Callithrix jacchus: one gene and its partners. The protein of the gene in region 4 interacts with the protein of the main gene of each other region in a biochemical or structural test. Links are inferred from orthologs where the notes say so. Each region holds a gene or a part of one and is shown on either strand. Other genes may lie near its edges. The genes, in order: PANX1, BIRC2, PARP1, CASP7 and PTGES3.

Region 1 (4,185 bases), on a different chromosome or scaffold from region 4:
GTTGATTTTCTGTGCTAAGTTCAATGCAACATGTCCTCCCTTGGAACTCCTGAAAACCCTTCAGAAAACATGGGACTCTGCTCGATAGCGCCTCACCCAAGTGCCTGCCAACCTTCACCAGGCCGGAGCTCATAGCTCAATACCTGTTTGGGTGCTGAATTACACACAGCTGAACAATGTTACCTGCTAACAGATATGTTCTAGTGCCCCAACTGCATAGTAAACTGCCACAGGCCAGAGGGAGGGCAGGGCGAGAACAAGGTCTCAAAACCCTTTCCCGTCTTCCTCAGCACACAACAGTGCTATGCACACAGCATGAGCTCACACCCTTGCTAGGTAAAACCACCCCTAATCACCCAAAATTACCTCTCAGGCAGCCCACCAATTTAGATGTATCTTAAGGCATTACAGGTGCAGGTTCCTTAGGGATCCCTCTAGTACATGCACTAGAGGTGGAGACTGGTCACAGAGGGCGATCAACTCCTCCTTCCTGCCTTTCTGTTCCAACCAGGGACCCAAGACTCGCACCTCCAAGACAGGGTCCAGGCCTCTTTTACTCCCAGGTCCTTGGAGGTCAGCACTTAGTTCAGCACACAGCCAGAACTCAATGAGGAGTTGACTGAAGGGAGAGATTATCTCCAGGACACACGCTATTTGGTGGTTTTCCTTTCAGCTGGAAGCCTCAATTCACTGTCAAATGGGAAGCGAATGAAAATCTCAATGACTATGCCTATGCAAAGAGCAGGAAAACTAGAAACTAACTTTCCACGATGAACTTGGCAGCTTCCTGCCAAACTGAACAACTTAGTGCTGCAGATTGCACAATCACACTCGTCGTCACTCTTTCCTAACCAACTCTTCCCTCAACTTCACTATTCCCATCACCCTCAACACCACACTCCACTCACCCAGATATACAGCCTTCACAGCAAGTTTGACCAGTACTGCCCTTCATGGCCTATTACAAACTAGGTACTCACGTGCTGCTTATTTACTCCTTGATCTTACAGCAATCACCCATCCATTTTCTTCCATTCACACCATCTGTGCACAAGACTTCAACAGACTTCTTGCTTTAAGGCACCTGGCCCTCCAGGTCCCATCCTCTCCTCCTTCCCAAACCCTATATGCCACCAACAGGCTAGTATTTACGTAATGCTATTGTTTTCAACCACTCTGTCCTCTGCTCAAACAATAAACTTCACAGTTCTGAAACCATCAATCTATACTCTTCTATTCCAGGCTGACCCAGGCCCATATTCACTCTCAGATCCCAGGAACTCTTGACTTATCCTCCTGCCGGCTAGGACAGTCACTGTGTCTCTCTTTCCAGGAACATATAACATTATCTGCCATCTCAAAACCTTAACAAAGGTCTTACTCCTGCTTAGCCAAATCCCACCCACCCTCTGACAAAAGTTTCCCCAAAGTCCAGCCACACTAGGCAGTTCCCCCGCCACAGAACTGTATTTAACCCTCCTGCACTACCTTCCTGTTGATTCCTAAAACTCTCTCCTGTGTGAAAGTTAGAACAGCTGATGAGGAAGAGCAGCCACGAAGACTTTCCAATCTCAAACAACACCTATGAAGCTCACATGAGAATTTACAGGAAGGGGACTTGTTCATCTCACATTCATAAGACCGTCCAAATGAAGGATCCCTCTAATGCCTGCCAAGTGCAAATATTTCCTATTATTCACAGCCCTGCAGAGCTATCTCAGCAAATACCAATTAAATATAAGACAGTGAAAGAACACACTTCTCATGAAACAGCGTTCTTCACATTCTCCATGTGGCCACTCAGGAACTTCTCTGGTACAATATTTTAGGCGGCTGGACAGGTATGTAGGAGACAGGGAAGAAAAGAGGGGACACGGCTATTCTTGGCAAATCTGGTGGCAAGGTGCTAGTTTTAAAGGTGGGACATGAACTGTAAGCCACAGTCCCATCAGTGGGTCTCAGGGAACAAGAAAACTGAGGAGTAGGGATGAAAGCTGGGTAGACAAGAGTACCAATGAAACACCTGAGCAAAGAACACTTTGGACTATAAAACCGGGGCCACTATCCTACCTGACATTTACGACCATCACAGTTGGGCGTGCCCAGACTTGGGCCTATGAGCCGTAAAATCGTAAGATCACAGCTCACTCGGCCAGACCCAGACGGCCCTCCCCTCCGACCTGGGCGAAGCTTACCAATCGAGATCTCCTGGGCGAAGGCCAGGGAGATGAGCAGCAGGGGCAGCCCCACGGCGATACACGTGACCATCTTGTCCACGGCCAGCTCCAGTCGCAGCCCCTTGAACTTGGGCTCGGTGGGCTCCTTCAGCAAGAAATCCGAGAATACGTACTCCGTGGCCAGGTGGGCGATGGCCATGGCTGCGGCGCGCCGGGGTCAGCCAGGCAGGTCCAGATACCGCTGGCGTCTGGCGAGCTCCGCGGCGCCTTCACCCCGTCACCGGCCTGGGGCGCGGCTTTCGCTTTCCCTTTGCCCACTCCCCGGCTGCGCCCAAATCCCGCCTGCCTTTGTGTCTCAGCGCCTCCGGGTCGCAGGGACTCTGCTGGGCTCTCGCGCTTGCTGCCTCCGCGGCCGGCGGGGCGGGGACCTGGGCGCGGCGATTCCCGCCGTCCCACCAAGCGCGCTCAGCCCGTGCAAGTCCCCGGGGATGCGCGGCACTCGGATGCGAGCTCTCCAGCGAGCCCGCAGGCGCTTGAACCTCCGGCCCGGCCCCTCCGCGCCGCCCAGACTATAGCGGACTCCTGGCCAGCCGTGCTCTCTCCGCCAGCGGCTGCGGGCTCTTCCGGAACCATCCGGGGAAACCGAGTACCCAGAGGCGTGGAGTTTCCGGAAGACGCGGTGACGCGAGGCGGGGTGGGCGCGGCTGCATCCGCGCCCCTCGGGCCCACCCTCTGACGCAGGGATTTTCCAACAGAATGAACCGGCAACCAAGAGAATGGGAAAACATTTTTGCAATCTACCTATCTGACAAAGGGCTAACATCCAGAATCTACAAAGAACTAAAACATATATGCAATAATAAAACCAACAACCCATCCAAAAGTGGGAGAAGGATATGAACACTTTTCAAAAGAAGACATATATGAGGCTAACAAACATTTGAAAAAATGCTCATCATAACGGATTATTAGAGAAATGCAAATCAAAACCACATTGAGATACCACCTCAAGCCAGTTAGAATGGCGATCATCAAAAAATCTGGACAAAACAGATACTGAAGAGGATGTGGAGGAATAGGAATGCTTTTACACTGTTGGTGGGAGTGTAAACTAGTTCAACCATTGTGGAAGACAGTGTGGCGATTCCTCAAGGACCTAGAAATAGAAATTCCATTTGACCCAGCAATCCCATTATTGGATATATATCCAAAGGATTATAAATCATTGTATTATAAAGACACATGCACAAGTAAGTTCATTATAGCACTGTTTACAATAACAAAGACTTGGAACCAACTCAAATGCCCATCAATGATAGACTGGACAGAGAAAATGTGGAATATTATGCAGCCATCAAAAATGATGAGTTCGTTTCCTTTGTAGGGACATGGATGAACCTGGAAACCATCATTCTCAGCAAACTGACACAAGAACAGAAAATCAAACACCGCATGTTCTCACTCATAGGTGGGTGTTGAACAATGAGAACACATGGACACAGGGAGGGGAGCATCACACATCTGTCGGGGGGAAATAGGGGAGGGACAGTGCGGGGTGGGGAGTTGGGGAGAGATAGCATGGGGAGAAATGCCAGATATAGGTGATGGGGAGGAAGGCAGCACATCACACTGCCATGTGTGTACCTATGCAACAATCTTGCATGTTCTACACATGTACCCCGAAATCTAAAATGCAATTTAAAAAATTGGAAAAAAAAAGAAAGACAGGAGGAAATGCTCTGACCAGTGTCCATGGAAATTAAGGCTATTGAGGTGGAAATAATTTGACTGATTGGAAGGTAAATGTGAGGACCCACCCAAGAAGACTTACCAACAAAGTTGGATATGTTTCAAAGTTTATTAAACGTTGGAAGGCTTTTATAAGAAAGTTTAGGAGAAGGGAGGAGGACCCCTCATATCACAGTTGGGTTTTCAGAGGGTATAGTACAGAGGTTACAGTCACAGGCTGCAGATGACAACACACAGGCTAAAATGCTTTGTGCACAAG
Region 2 (2,503 bases), on a different chromosome or scaffold from region 4:
ACTAAAGAACTTTTAGTTTGATTCCTCGAGGGAGCTAATTATCCCGTCAGCTATCATAGGCCAGAATGAAAGGCAGAGAAAAGTTAACAATGTTTTAACATTGTTCTGAGTCAACTGAATTTGGGGAAAAAAGAATTCCCTCTCTAATGGCTGGGAGAGCATTTCTCTCATGAGGCCTTGAACCTAGGTATATATGCATTTGGACTTACATACATGCATCAGCACATCAGGATAGAAACAAAAGCAAGAGAAGAGGCTGGAGGATACAGAAATTCTCACTCACTCTTCCCGTGTGTTCTCTAAAGGAATCTAAAAGAGCTGTGATGTGAGAAGAAAAACGGAGAGTTTTTAATATTAGACCTCCTTATCCACCTGGCTTCAGAAGTCTGCCAGAGCCAAATCTAAGAAAGGTCAAATATGACTGGACCCAGAAAGGAGGTACTTACCATTCATTGCCTTTATGCCACCTCCTCGCCCCATCAACACTTATGCAACAAAGCAATTACACAAATGTCTGAAAACAACAACTATTTATCTAATTTATTAAGAGTTTTTCAAAATTAATGTTGGATTCGTTTTTCATCCAACATTGTATCTGTAACATACAAAGCAACAAGAAACTGTCATCTAAAGAAATTTCCCAAATAACATTATTTTTAAATACTTGTTAATAATTTCTCATGAATGCAATTATTTACTTAATAGTTGGCATTTGAGTACAATGAAGACACATGAAAATTACTTTTTAAATCAGGACAAAAAAATATTCTGGTAACAATCGTTTTAAAGCACTTTACTGAGATGTTTCTCACAAACTAAGGGGAGAAATAAGAGAAAAATCCTTATTTTAAAACACAAGTGAAAAGCACCGAAGACAATTTGGCACCGTAACTCTGATGAACTCCAGAGCTCCCGGTTTCCAGTTATTTTAATCTACACTGTAATCTAGTATTCAGAGCTTTCTGAAAGAATACCAAATCCAGTAATTCCCTAAATGATATATAACAAGCCGTGACACTAACTCCCTTAACTCCTCTTATGTCCACACATACACACTAATATAGTTCACCAAACATAAATCTTCCCTTGTAAATAAACAGATTAAGATTAAATATGATATTACCTTTTAGAAACAAGATTATTAGTACCAAAGCAGACTAAAACATGAATGTTACTAATTGAAAAACTAATAATTCCCTTTTTGCTTCAGATGGCTTCAAGTGTTCAACAATATTTTAGAGACTTTTTTATACAGGTTAAAATATAGCCTATTTTTCTCTAAGAGAGAAAAGTACGAACAGTACCCTTGATTATACCCCTGCAAATAGGGCATTTTCTTAGAGAAGGGGCACATTCCTGGCATACTACCAGATGACCACAAGGAATAAATACAATAGAAACTTCTTTGTCCATACACACTTTACAAGTTCTTTCTTCTTGCAGCCTCCTCAATTGTTCTTCCAGTGGCAGACCTAGTAACAAAAAATAACATTAGTGAAACTGTTTCCACTTCATTTCCCATTAAAAAAAAAATAAGGGTAATAGTTTTTGTTGGTTTTAAATCTTTGTTTTACCTGAAACATCTTCTGTTGGAATATACTTCATATTCTTATCCACTGAGGAAAGAAAACATATAAAAAGCATCACTCTACTAACACAAAACTGCTTCACCTACTACCTCTTTTTTTCACCTATTTATGAAATGATGTAGATCGTAGCTATGTATCATCAGAACTGTTACATTTAGGCATACTACTTGGGAAAGAAAAGGCCGCTTTTTGGGAACAAGTGAAATACAGACCGTTGCTAATTGGATTTATTTGCTTGTCAAACAGAGATGAACATAGTCCTAAGAATTTCTAAAATAATTCTCCCAACAAACTCACCAAATAAGTTCTTATACAACGTAGAGTCAATTTCTTTTAGACAGTGTTTGAAGATGTTGGCTGCAGCATTTCCTTTAACCAAAATGGTATCAATCAGTTCTCTTGCTTGTAAAGGAATCTGTGTTTTTTGTTTAATAATATCATGTTCCTGTTTATTAATTACATTGGCCTTTAAAAGATTATCCAGGATAGGAAGCACACACGTCAACTGTTGAAAGAGAGCCATTCTATTCTTCCGAATTAATGACAAATCATCTTCATTAAAAAAAGAAAAAGAAATCCATTAAACTCCTTTAACTACACTTATATAGTCAGTAATAACCAAATCTACAAATAATTTAGGCACTAAATAAGTTCAAAAAACAAAGTAACTTGTTTGCATTTTAAAGTTTGTTGTTTTGGAAAACTTCCAGAGAAGTATGTTTCTGTAACTTTTAAGTCTATATAGTCACATGTCCTAGAATTCCACTTTTACTTTTGTTTGTTGAAAGACATTTTTCAAAGATAGTAAAAATTTCCCCCCTATATAATACTGACTTATATTTCCATTGAATTACTTTACTTTTGTAAGTACTTTCATAGTAATTTGTCTCATTTGATACAGCAATCCTGTCAAT
Region 3 (3,521 bases), on a different chromosome or scaffold from region 4:
CTAGACAGCTTCCCGAGGGTCAGGATCTTCATGTTGGATAACGGCTTACCTGGGGATGAAAGGACAAAATCATTCAGCAAGGCCAACTCTGATGTTGCTCCCCAGGAAGGGGAGGTGGAGAAGCCGATGAGCCAAGCAGCGAGCTCCTGAGGAAGCCTATGAAAATATGCTTGGAAGAAAACAGGATGGGACAGCAAGCTGCCATCTGAGCACCTACAGATGTCCCTTGACACAGAAAGGACTGGGCAGGGAGCAAGCCACAAAATGCCAATCCATGGCCAGGCCAGCCTTGCTGGCATGAACCAGGTAGGTGGGGGTTACCCAAGGTCAGCTCCATGGGCGGGCTAGGAAGGCTGCATCTGTGGATGAGGGACCAGGAGGCTGGAGTGGGATGGGAAGAGGGTAACAGAAGGAATTGGGGGTTCTTCCACATGATCCCCCCAATTCCTTCTGTTATCCTCCCAAACAAATTGCAATTCTTATTAATTAACCCCGTTTTAAAAGTAAGACATGTCTACGATAGCCCCTCCAAACAGTGGCCAGCACAATCACACTGAGGTGAGCCAACTGATTCTAGGCGAAAAGCAGCAGCCAGGTATGCACTGACCCAGGCCAGAAAGGCCTGGACAGAGGTGTGCCTTCTGTTCACAGCAAATAACAGTGCTAGTGACACATTTCCAGAACTGGAGATGCTGCAAAGAAAAGTCCTTCCTGCCTTCCCTGTAAAGGCAGACAACTAGTTAACACTGACAGTTTAGTTGAAACTGGTGTGGTCTCCAGAGAACAAAATTATTGATTTGTGCTGAACTGCAAGTCAGGGGAAAACAGAGGAGGAAACCCTCCAAGGAGGGGTCAGAATGCCAGCCCCCACCTAGCTCTTCAGGTGGGCACCTGGACCCAAGGCTGCCAGCAGCACAGTGGACTTGGGATGACCACACACACACACTGCAGTGACCACTGGTCCCTCTCAGAATATGAAACAGAGGTCAACAACAGATTTACGTTCAAGGACGGAACCCTCATCCTCCACCCACCAAACTGTGACCTTCACCATTAGACCATGCCACATGTCGCTGAGAAAATAAGCAGCAGGTCACTTCTGCCAAAAGAACACATTGCTCTCACTGTCTTGGTTGGCTTGGGGCGTAACTCCCTCTGCACACAACAGAGACTCGAGCATCACACCAGGGCCAGGATGACTGGCAGGCCCACCAGATGGCCTAAAGAGTGAGGCCTGGCAAGCTGCTCTGCAGTGTAGTCAGGAAGGAGACCTGCGTGCTATTCCAGGTAAGGCTGTCGACCCAGCCTTTCTTAGGAGCCCCCTCCTAGCATCCCAGAATAAGAGTCGTTTGCTTTTTTACCATGCTTATTTTATTTTCAGAGATCCAGTGCCCAGGCTGGAGTGCAATGGTGCAATCATAGCTCACTGCAGCCTTTACCTCCCAGGCTCAAGGAATCCTCTGCCTCAGCCTCCTTGAATATCTAGAGCTAGAAGCACAAGCTGCTACACCTGGAACATTTTAAGACTTTTTGTAGAGATGGGGTCTCGCTATATTGCCCAGGCTGGTCTCGAACTCCCGGCATCAAGCAATTCTTTTGCCTTGGCCTCCCAAAATGCTCAGATTACAGGTGTGAGTCACTGCTCCCAGCCGATGTTATAGTCTTAATATCCTCCTGCCTTGCTGTGGTTGGGCGTGTAACAAGTCAAAGCCCTGCAGGGCAAGGCTTCCCCACGGTGGGGTCAGCAAAGAGAGACCCCCGAAGGGTACTTTCTTACCAGCTCCATACCACCATCAAATAGTGGACAAATGATTCCTGCAAAGCAGCTCTAAGACTGGGGCCCCACGTGCTATACCTGCTGAAGCAGAGTTCACGGCAGCAGGCTTCGAGGCTGTGGAGGGCGGAGGTGCGGCAGCCACTGGGGCGCTGGTTTCTGGAGGAAATATACGGTTCTGCTTTTTAACCTTCAATTTCTTGAGGTAAGAGATTTCTCGGAATTCCTAAAAAATATTTAGTTTTAGTTAAGAAGCCAGCTCTCCCTTGAAGCAACCACCCCATAGACCAAAAAGGATTTGGCTTGTCCAAATTAAATAATCTCTTTTTTACTTCTTACAATGGAGTTTTCTCTTTTCTTTTTAGTTTTTTCTTCTTACAACAAACAATAGAAAAATGCGGGGCTTCTAGGATGAAAGATTCTATTACTGGGGCTATAGTATTTATTTCTGATATTTTTACATTTATAGTAGGGCTGGTATTGTGGCTGCTTTATGAGAAAAATCTTTCCCTTAAAAACAAATCAGCGGACAGTTAGGCCAGGGAATCACCCCTGGAACTGCTGTGTGAATACAGCCTACCTGGCCTCATTGTTGAGTTGTTCCCTTCAAGAGTTAATGGGGCTCTGTGGGGTCACACACCTACTCCAGAACTCCAAAACCCCCAACACTATATGCACTGGGAGATTATTACCCAAAAGGAAATCACAGTATTCCCTTCCCTTTTTAGAAGAAGGGAAAATGAATGCAGAGAGCCTTACAGTATTCACAACAAATTCTTCCATCAGCACAGTTCAATCTTCACTCCAAGTGATTTACAAGGGGCCTTGCTCTAAACGATCACTCAATAAATATCAAATACACGAGGCTCAGGGAAAGATCCAGGTCTTCATCTAATGAAAAAACTGCCCTTCCCAGCTGTGCCCACATTCAGGGTGCCAGCTGGATATAAGAGGTCACAGATTCTTTCCAGCACACACTGACCACCCTAATATGTGCTACTAATTACAGTTTGGTTAAAAAGACAGTTTATGCCCTTGAGAAAGTATCTCATTCATGACTGAGAGTCAGCTATATGAATGTAAACTTTTTTTTTTTTTTAAGAGATAGGGTTTCACCAAGTTGGCCAGGTGGCTGGTCTCAAACTCCTGATCTCAGGTGACCCACCTACCTCAGCTTCTCAAAGTGCTGGGATTACAGGCGTGAGCCACCGTGCCCAGTCTATAAAGGTGAACTTTAACACAGGAGCTAAGCTATGCCAGAGGCGTGCTAAGGTGATATAAGACAGGGAATGCTAGCATATACTTGGAGGCAGTGACCTGCTAAGCCTGCTGGGAACTGAAGACTCAGAAGACTGCCTAAGCACAGCCATCCGAGTAGCACCTGGTGGGATGTGGGGCACCATGGCTAGCTGCCCTATTGCTAGGTACTCCTAAAAAGAATGAGTTCTGCTTTAATGCCTCAACTAAAAAAAAGTATAAGCAACACTGGCGGTGGGTGAGGAGAGGAAAGTGGTATGTGAGGAGGAGGAAGAGGGTGGCAGAAAGAGGCTGCAGGGCTCTGAGGATAAGCTAGGGAGCTGGCCTTGATTCTGTGGGCCAAGTGCCTGGGGGCAACAGCCTCGATGCATAAGCAGCAAGTACTGCCACGCTGAAAACTTGCCTCGTGCATGTACATACCCTTTAAAAAGGTACAGATGTTCTGTAATTGATACATAAAACACAAGGGATCACATATTGCTTACTGCCA
Region 4 (3,521 bases):
AGGCAGGGCCTTTATAGAGGTAATTAAGATTCAATGAAGTCACTAGGGTAGGGCTCTGATCCAAGAGGACTGGTGTCCTTATAAGAAGAGACACCAGAGGCCTCACTCTGTCTAGGTCAATCTCTGTCATGTGAGAACATAGCAAGAAGGGACATTTATGAGCTAGGAAGGGGGCCCTCACCAGAAACTGACTGAGCCAGCAACTTGATCTTAGACTTCACAGTCTCCATAACTTAGAGAAATAAGCGTCTGTTGTTTAAGCCACTTACTCTAAGGTATTTTGCTATAGCAGCCCAAGAAGAACTGATATACTCTGATCCAGCCCTGAGTTTTACCAAATGCACTGGGGTATCTGGCCCCTCAGCACTCCATCTGACAAGCCATCTTTCTCTTACCCATGTTGTTTGAAATTTTAGGCTCAGTTACAGCAGCTCCTTTTTAACATCACTTTTCTTGCCCAGGTGGGGTGGCTCACACCTGTAATTCCAACACTTTGGGAGGCCAAGGCGGGCAGGTCACAAGGTCAGGAGTTTGAGACCAGCCTGACCAATGTAGTGAAACCCCATCTCTACTAAGAATATAAAAATTAGCTGGGCATGGTGGCGTGTGCCTGTAATCCCAGCTATTCAAGAGGCTGAGGCAGGAGAATCGCTGGAACCGGGAGGTGGAGGTTGCAGTGAGCCGAGATCATGCCACTGCATTCCAGCCTGGACGACAGAGTGAGACTCCCAAAAAAAAAAAAAAAAAAAAAAAAAAAAATATATATATATATATGATTAAAAATAAAAAATAAAACATGGTTTTTCTCATCTGCCTCCTTGCTCAGAGCACCTACAAGTCTACCACTGGGTTTGTTTATGCAGACATATGCCTCCATTACACCACCTCCCTCTCAAGAGCAGGAAGACCAAATTATTTTCTATCTTATACCATCCTTAAAACTTGTGAAATTATCGCTCTCACAAAATCCCATCTGTAGATGCTGCTAGAGCTGGTTTTCCAAACACACCGTCCTACTTACTGTAACCAGTACCTTTGTGCCAAACACTTGACAAAAGTACTAGCACAGCTGGGAAAATTCTAACTCAGTGCTGGTTTGTACCCAAAGCAAAGGAAGGACTTTCACTGTACAGACTCAGTCTAATGTGGCACTTGGTAAAGTGAGTAGGCTTGCCCATTACTGGCATTTTCTGGTACCTGTGTACAGGCTGCAGCGTAAAGGAACCTTGGTCTGAGCCACAGCTCCACTGCATACCGAAATCACGTAAGCTCATCTAAACTGAAAATTCTTTTATCTGTAAAATCAGGACAGCAATAATACCTTTCCTAAATATGTATGCTATTATTATAAGGATAATATGAGAAAAGACACATGAAAGATACTCTGTATTGTAAAGCACTATAGAAATGTTTGTCCTTATAATTACCAATAAGAATAATGATAATAAATAATAATAATAAATCGCTTGTCAGATGGAGTGCTGAGGGGCCGGATAGCCCAGTGCATTTGGTAAAACTCGGGGCTGGATCGCAGGGTGTGTCAGTCTTCTTGGGCTGCTATAGCAAAATACCTTAGACTAGGTGGTTTAAACAACTGATGTCTATTTCTCTACGTTATGAAGGCTGGGAAGTCCAAGATCAAGTCCCAAGTCAGCTTTCCTGGAGAGAAAAGGGAATGCACTTCTGTGGTAGGCAGAATAACGGTGCTCACAGATGTCATCCCCTAACCCCAGAATCTGTGAACATGAAACCTGCTGTGGAAAAAGGACTTTGCAGATGTGGTTGAGGTTATTGGACTGATGGGGAGATGATCCTGGAGTGTCCAGGTGGGTCCCATCTAATCACAGGAGTCCTTTCTCAGCTGTGGTCAGAAAGAGAGCACTGTCACAACAGAAGGGTCAGAGAGATGCAAAGTTGCTGGCTTTGAAGATGAAGGAAGGGGCCACAGCCAAGGAATGCAGGAGGTTCTTTGTGTATTTTCAGCCACTATGTTTGTAACGATGTATTACTGCAGCAAGAGGAAACTAATACAGCCCCCAAGTCTGTGTTTTGATGATGGAATGGACTGAAGTATGCTTAGTAGACAATAAACGTGATACCTGGCACCGTGGAATAGGCAAAGAGAAAGTCAGCTTCCACTGGGATCTTATATCGGGGATTAGCATCTGTGTCATTGATGGGCCCCGAATCGGCCTGGATGCCATCATCGAGCTCTGTCCCTCGGCAAGCCTAAGTATCAAAGCAGACATTAATCCATGCAGTTGGGGACAGACACGTGCATGCTGTTCACTGCTGTGTCCCAATACCTAGAACTGTGCCTGGCAAACTTAGGAACTCAGTGATAATCTGATGAACAGATGAATGAATCAATGTGTGTCAAATTACTAAGCAAAGCAAATAAAAGTACTGCAATGTCTTAAAGAAACCTTCATAATTTATGGTGGGTCGTGAAGTCTCACGCCTGTAATCCCAGCACTTTGGGAGGCAGCCAGGAGTTTGAGACCAGCCTCGTCAACATGGTGAAAACCCATCTCTTCTAAAAATACAAAAATTAGCCAGGCATGGTGGTACGTGCCTGTAATCCCAGCTACTTGGGAGGCTGAGGCAGGAGAATCACTTGAACCTGGGAGGTGGAGGTTGCGGTGAGTCGAGATTGCACCACTGTATCCCAGCCCAGGTGACAGTGTGACTGTCTCAAAGAAAAAAAAATAAAAAACCTTCATAATTTGTGATCCAGTGCAAACACATATGCCAACCATTCAGTGACAGAAAAATAAAACCTTAATTTTAATTTGGAAGAACACTTAGATTTGTAAAAATGATGTCATCCCGTCACTCTGTAATCTTTCCCCATTTTCAAGTGTACTGGCACTGAAAAGAGATTACCTGAATGAAGAAGAGTTTGGGTTTCTCTAAAAGGGTTCTGCATCTATCCCCCCTAAAATGGGCTGTCAAATCCTTTATTGGTGTGACACCATCTTTCCCATAAATTAAGTTTTCTTCTCCATGGCTTAAGAGGATGCAGGCGAAGCAGGCGGCATTTGTATGGTCCTCTTCAGAAGCTGCAAGCAAACAGTATGAACATTGAAGAGTTAAGGCTTTAAGTTCTTGGGGGCTTCAGAAGCAGCATTTCCAGAGGCAGCCTGGTAGCTGTCCCTGACTATTAGAGGGGAGTGGAGGGGAGGTCCCAGGAACTGGGCTCCTCTCAAAGCACCAGACTTATCTAAGAAGTTAAGAGGGAGGAATAGCGTATGGGGGCTGATGGGCATGGCCCTGCTGTTGGCTAGTTCCGTGATATCAGGAGTGTTACTGAACTATTTTGTGCCTTGGTTTCCTTAACCGTGAATTGTAAAACAGGCCATATAACAAACATCATGCACGTATATGTTAAAGAGAATAAAATATTATACTAAGTGAAATAAGCCAGTTACTAAAGGCATGCACTGCATGACTCCACTTTCAGGAGGTACCTTGAATAGTCAGGTTCAGAGAGAGAATATAGAACAGTGGTTGCCAGGGGC
Region 5 (2,632 bases), on a different chromosome or scaffold from region 4:
CAACCAAAAATCAAAAATATATCGTTTCCCAATGAATAGGTAGGTGGTCTTGCTATCTCAAGTAATTCACATTTCTGTTTTGGTTATTTATTCGAGGTCATAAAGAAAAAATTACTTTTCTTCCAAAGTTAACATCACTTTTTTGAGTTTGGTTTTTGATGTAAAATATCACTGTGTAAACATACTTTTTATATACACTTACTTTCATCATCACTGTCTTGTGAATCCTGCAAGAGGCAAAATTTAGAAAAGTTACTGAGCTGACCAAATATTCCTTTGCTAACTGAACAGTTTACCTTAAGTTCAAGTGCTGTATTTTTGATCTAAAGTAGCACAGGTAGTTAAGTACATCAAGCATAGAAATTTAGTCACTGGACTTAAGACTAGGTTTACCTAAGGTGAATGGATGTACAGCAGAGGATCTATCTACCTGTTAAAAACTAGTGTGTGCCTTTTGGAGACATTCAGCCCACATTTTGAATCCCTCCCTAAATTCTATCTTGGCATTCAAAGAGAAAACATGGTTCAATATGAAGAACAATGGACTGACAGAAAACAGTGAACTCTAATCCTAGCTGTTGAGTGAATATTACATATTTTTCTAAACTGTATTAAATAACTTTCCAGGAGCTGTTAAAATGCTGGTGTTGGGAAGATGCTCAGAAAAGTAGTTTAATATATCATCCTCTTACAGATTTACAACGTCCATTTGTTTAACTGGTCTCTGACTAATCCTGACATTAAACCTATTTAACTTGCTTTCTTAGTCAAAATAATCCCTATAAACCGATTCTTTTTCTGAGACAGACTCTTGCTCTGTTGCCCAGGCTGGAGTGCAATAATGTGATCTTGGCTCACTGCAACCTCCACCTCCTGGGTTAAAGAATTCTCATAACCGTATCCTCTCCAGCAGCTAGGATTACAGGCATCTGCCATTATTGCCTGGCTAATTTTTGTAGAGATGGTTTCACCATGTTGGCCAGGCTGGTCTTGAACTCCTGACCTCAAGTGATTTGCCCACCTCAGCCTCCCAAAGTGCTGGAATTACAAGCATGAGCCACTGTACCCAGCCTAAATTGACTCTTATAATTCAGTAAAGTATTAATATATAATGTCACTATACAATGATTCTTTTGAAATCTGATCCATTTAGGAATGGTCTACAGAACAACCAGTTCCCTAGTAGATATTCATTCCTCAAAAATGGGCAGATTTTAAAAACTGCTTTTCCCTTTTTATTTTTTTTTTTACAAAATAAGAAGTAATCCTGAATCTCTATAAAACCACCTGTAATATGCTGTTTCTTACTATTTAATAGTATAAAAGTAAACAGAAAAAAAAACTTTTAGACTTACATCATCTGCTCCATCTACTTCTGGTAAATCTACATCCTCATCACCACCCATGTTGTTCATCATCTATTTGAAGTGTAAAAATTAGTTTAAAAAATGATGTTGTTACGTTAGGCCCTAATTATTAGGCTGCATGCTTCAGAATAAACCTTAAGTCTGCCACAGATATCCACAAATGAAAAATGCAAAATAAATGTAAGCATTTTCCCTTCTGTGAAAGGTAGATTATAGGTAATTACACAAAATCCTAAAAACCTGTACGGAAATTAAAACTAAATTTTCCCTAAAGAAAAACCAAGCTACTCATGCAGCAAGTATCAATGTATGACAGACATTAAAAATTCTACTTGAGTAGTGGTTACCTCTGGTGGTTAAAGAAAAGAATGGGATTCATCTGTAGTTGCAAAGCTTTCTATCTTAAGTTAGGTAGATTGTGTATTATGGTATTCTTTTTTTGTTGTTTCCCTGAGATGAAGTTTTGCTCTTGTTGTCCAGGCTGGAGTGCAATCGTGCGATCTCAGCTCACTGCAACCTCCGTCTCCCAGATTCAAGAGATTCTCCTGCCTCAGCCTTCTGAGTAGCTGGGATTACAGGCATGCACCACCATGCCTAACTAATTTTGTATTTTTAGTAGAGACAGGGTCTCTCCGTGTTGGTCAGGCTGGTCTCAAACTCCTGACCTCAGGTGATCAACCCACCTTGGCCTCCCAAAGTGCTGGGATTACAACAATGACACACCACGCCCAGCTGGTATTTTTTTTTTTTTTGATACAGTCTTGCTCTGTCATCCAGGTTGGAGTGCAGTGGTGTGATCTTGGTTCACTGCAACCTCTGCCTTTGTGTTCAAGCAATTCTCATGCCTCAGCCTCCTGGGTAGCTGGGATTACAGGCATGCACCACCATACCGAGCTAATTTTTCTCTATTTAGTAGAGACAGGGTTTCACCATTTTGGCCAGGCTGGTCTCGAATTCCTGGGCTATAGCGATCCACCAGCCTCGGCTTCTCAAAGTGATGAGATTACAGGCACGAGCCGCCATACTCAGCCTTTTTTATTTTGAAACAGAGTCCTGCTCTGTTGCCCAGGCCGGAGTGCAGCGGCACAATCTCGGCTCACTGCAACTTCTATTTCCTGGGTTCAAATGATTCTCCTGCCTCAACTTCCTGGGTAGCTGGGAGAATAGGCACACGCCACCATGCCCAGCTAATTTTTCTATCTTCAGTAAAGACAGGGTTTCATCATATTGGCCAGGCTGGTCTCAAACTCCTGGCCTCAAGTGAT

Evidence for each region.
Region 1: of the proteins of CASP7 (region 4) and PANX1, one has a biochemical effect on the other in vitro, tested with the Homo sapiens proteins (2 studies listed by IntAct). The link is inferred for Callithrix jacchus from reciprocal best matches to the Homo sapiens genes CASP7 and PANX1.
Region 2: the proteins of CASP7 (region 4) and BIRC2 form a complex in vitro, tested with the Homo sapiens proteins (2 studies listed by BioGRID, with this or other methods). The link is inferred for Callithrix jacchus from reciprocal best matches to the Homo sapiens genes CASP7 and BIRC2.
Region 3: of the proteins of CASP7 (region 4) and PARP1, one has a biochemical effect on the other in vitro, tested with the Homo sapiens proteins (3 studies listed by BioGRID). The link is inferred for Callithrix jacchus from reciprocal best matches to the Homo sapiens genes CASP7 and PARP1.
Region 5: of the proteins of CASP7 (region 4) and PTGES3, one has a biochemical effect on the other in vitro, tested with the Homo sapiens proteins (2 studies listed by BioGRID and IntAct). The link is inferred for Callithrix jacchus from reciprocal best matches to the Homo sapiens genes CASP7 and PTGES3.

Annotation. Positions count from the first base shown.
Region 1 is NC_133511.1:46,208,669-46,212,853, forward strand, and holds the start of PANX1 (pannexin-1), read right to left. Parts: upstream 2,822-4,185; 5' UTR 2,377-2,821; coding exon 2,196-2,376; intron 1-2,195. UniProt on the Homo sapiens protein: Ion channel involved in a variety of physiological functions such as blood pressure regulation, apoptotic cell clearance and oogenesis.
Region 2 is NC_133511.1:2,410,892-2,413,394, reverse strand, and holds the end of BIRC2 (baculoviral IAP repeat-containing protein 2), read right to left. Parts: intron 2,142-2,503; coding exon 1,887-2,141; intron 1,617-1,886; coding exon 1,575-1,616; intron 1,473-1,574; coding exon 1,279-1,472; 3' UTR 514-1,278; downstream 1-513. UniProt on the Homo sapiens protein: Multi-functional protein which regulates not only caspases and apoptosis, but also modulates inflammatory signaling and immunity, mitogenic kinase signaling, and cell proliferation, as well as cell invasion and metastasis.
Region 3 is NC_133520.1:22,865,379-22,868,899, reverse strand, and holds part of PARP1 (poly [ADP-ribose] polymerase 1), read right to left. Parts: intron 2,001-3,521; coding exon 1,856-2,000; intron 50-1,855; coding exon 1-49. UniProt on the Homo sapiens protein: Poly-ADP-ribosyltransferase that mediates poly-ADP-ribosylation of proteins and plays a key role in DNA repair.
Region 4 is NC_133513.1:106,662,759-106,666,279, reverse strand, and holds part of CASP7 (caspase-7), read right to left. Parts: intron 3,063-3,521; coding exon 2,887-3,062; intron 2,230-2,886; coding exon 2,100-2,229; intron 1-2,099. UniProt on the Homo sapiens protein: Thiol protease involved in different programmed cell death processes, such as apoptosis, pyroptosis or granzyme-mediated programmed cell death, by proteolytically cleaving target proteins.
Region 5 is NC_133510.1:62,989,716-62,992,347, reverse strand, and holds the end of PTGES3 (prostaglandin E synthase 3), read right to left. Parts: intron 1,419-2,632; coding exon 1,308-1,418; 3' UTR 501-1,307; downstream 1-500. UniProt on the Homo sapiens protein: Cytosolic prostaglandin synthase that catalyzes the oxidoreduction of prostaglandin endoperoxide H2 (PGH2) to prostaglandin E2 (PGE2).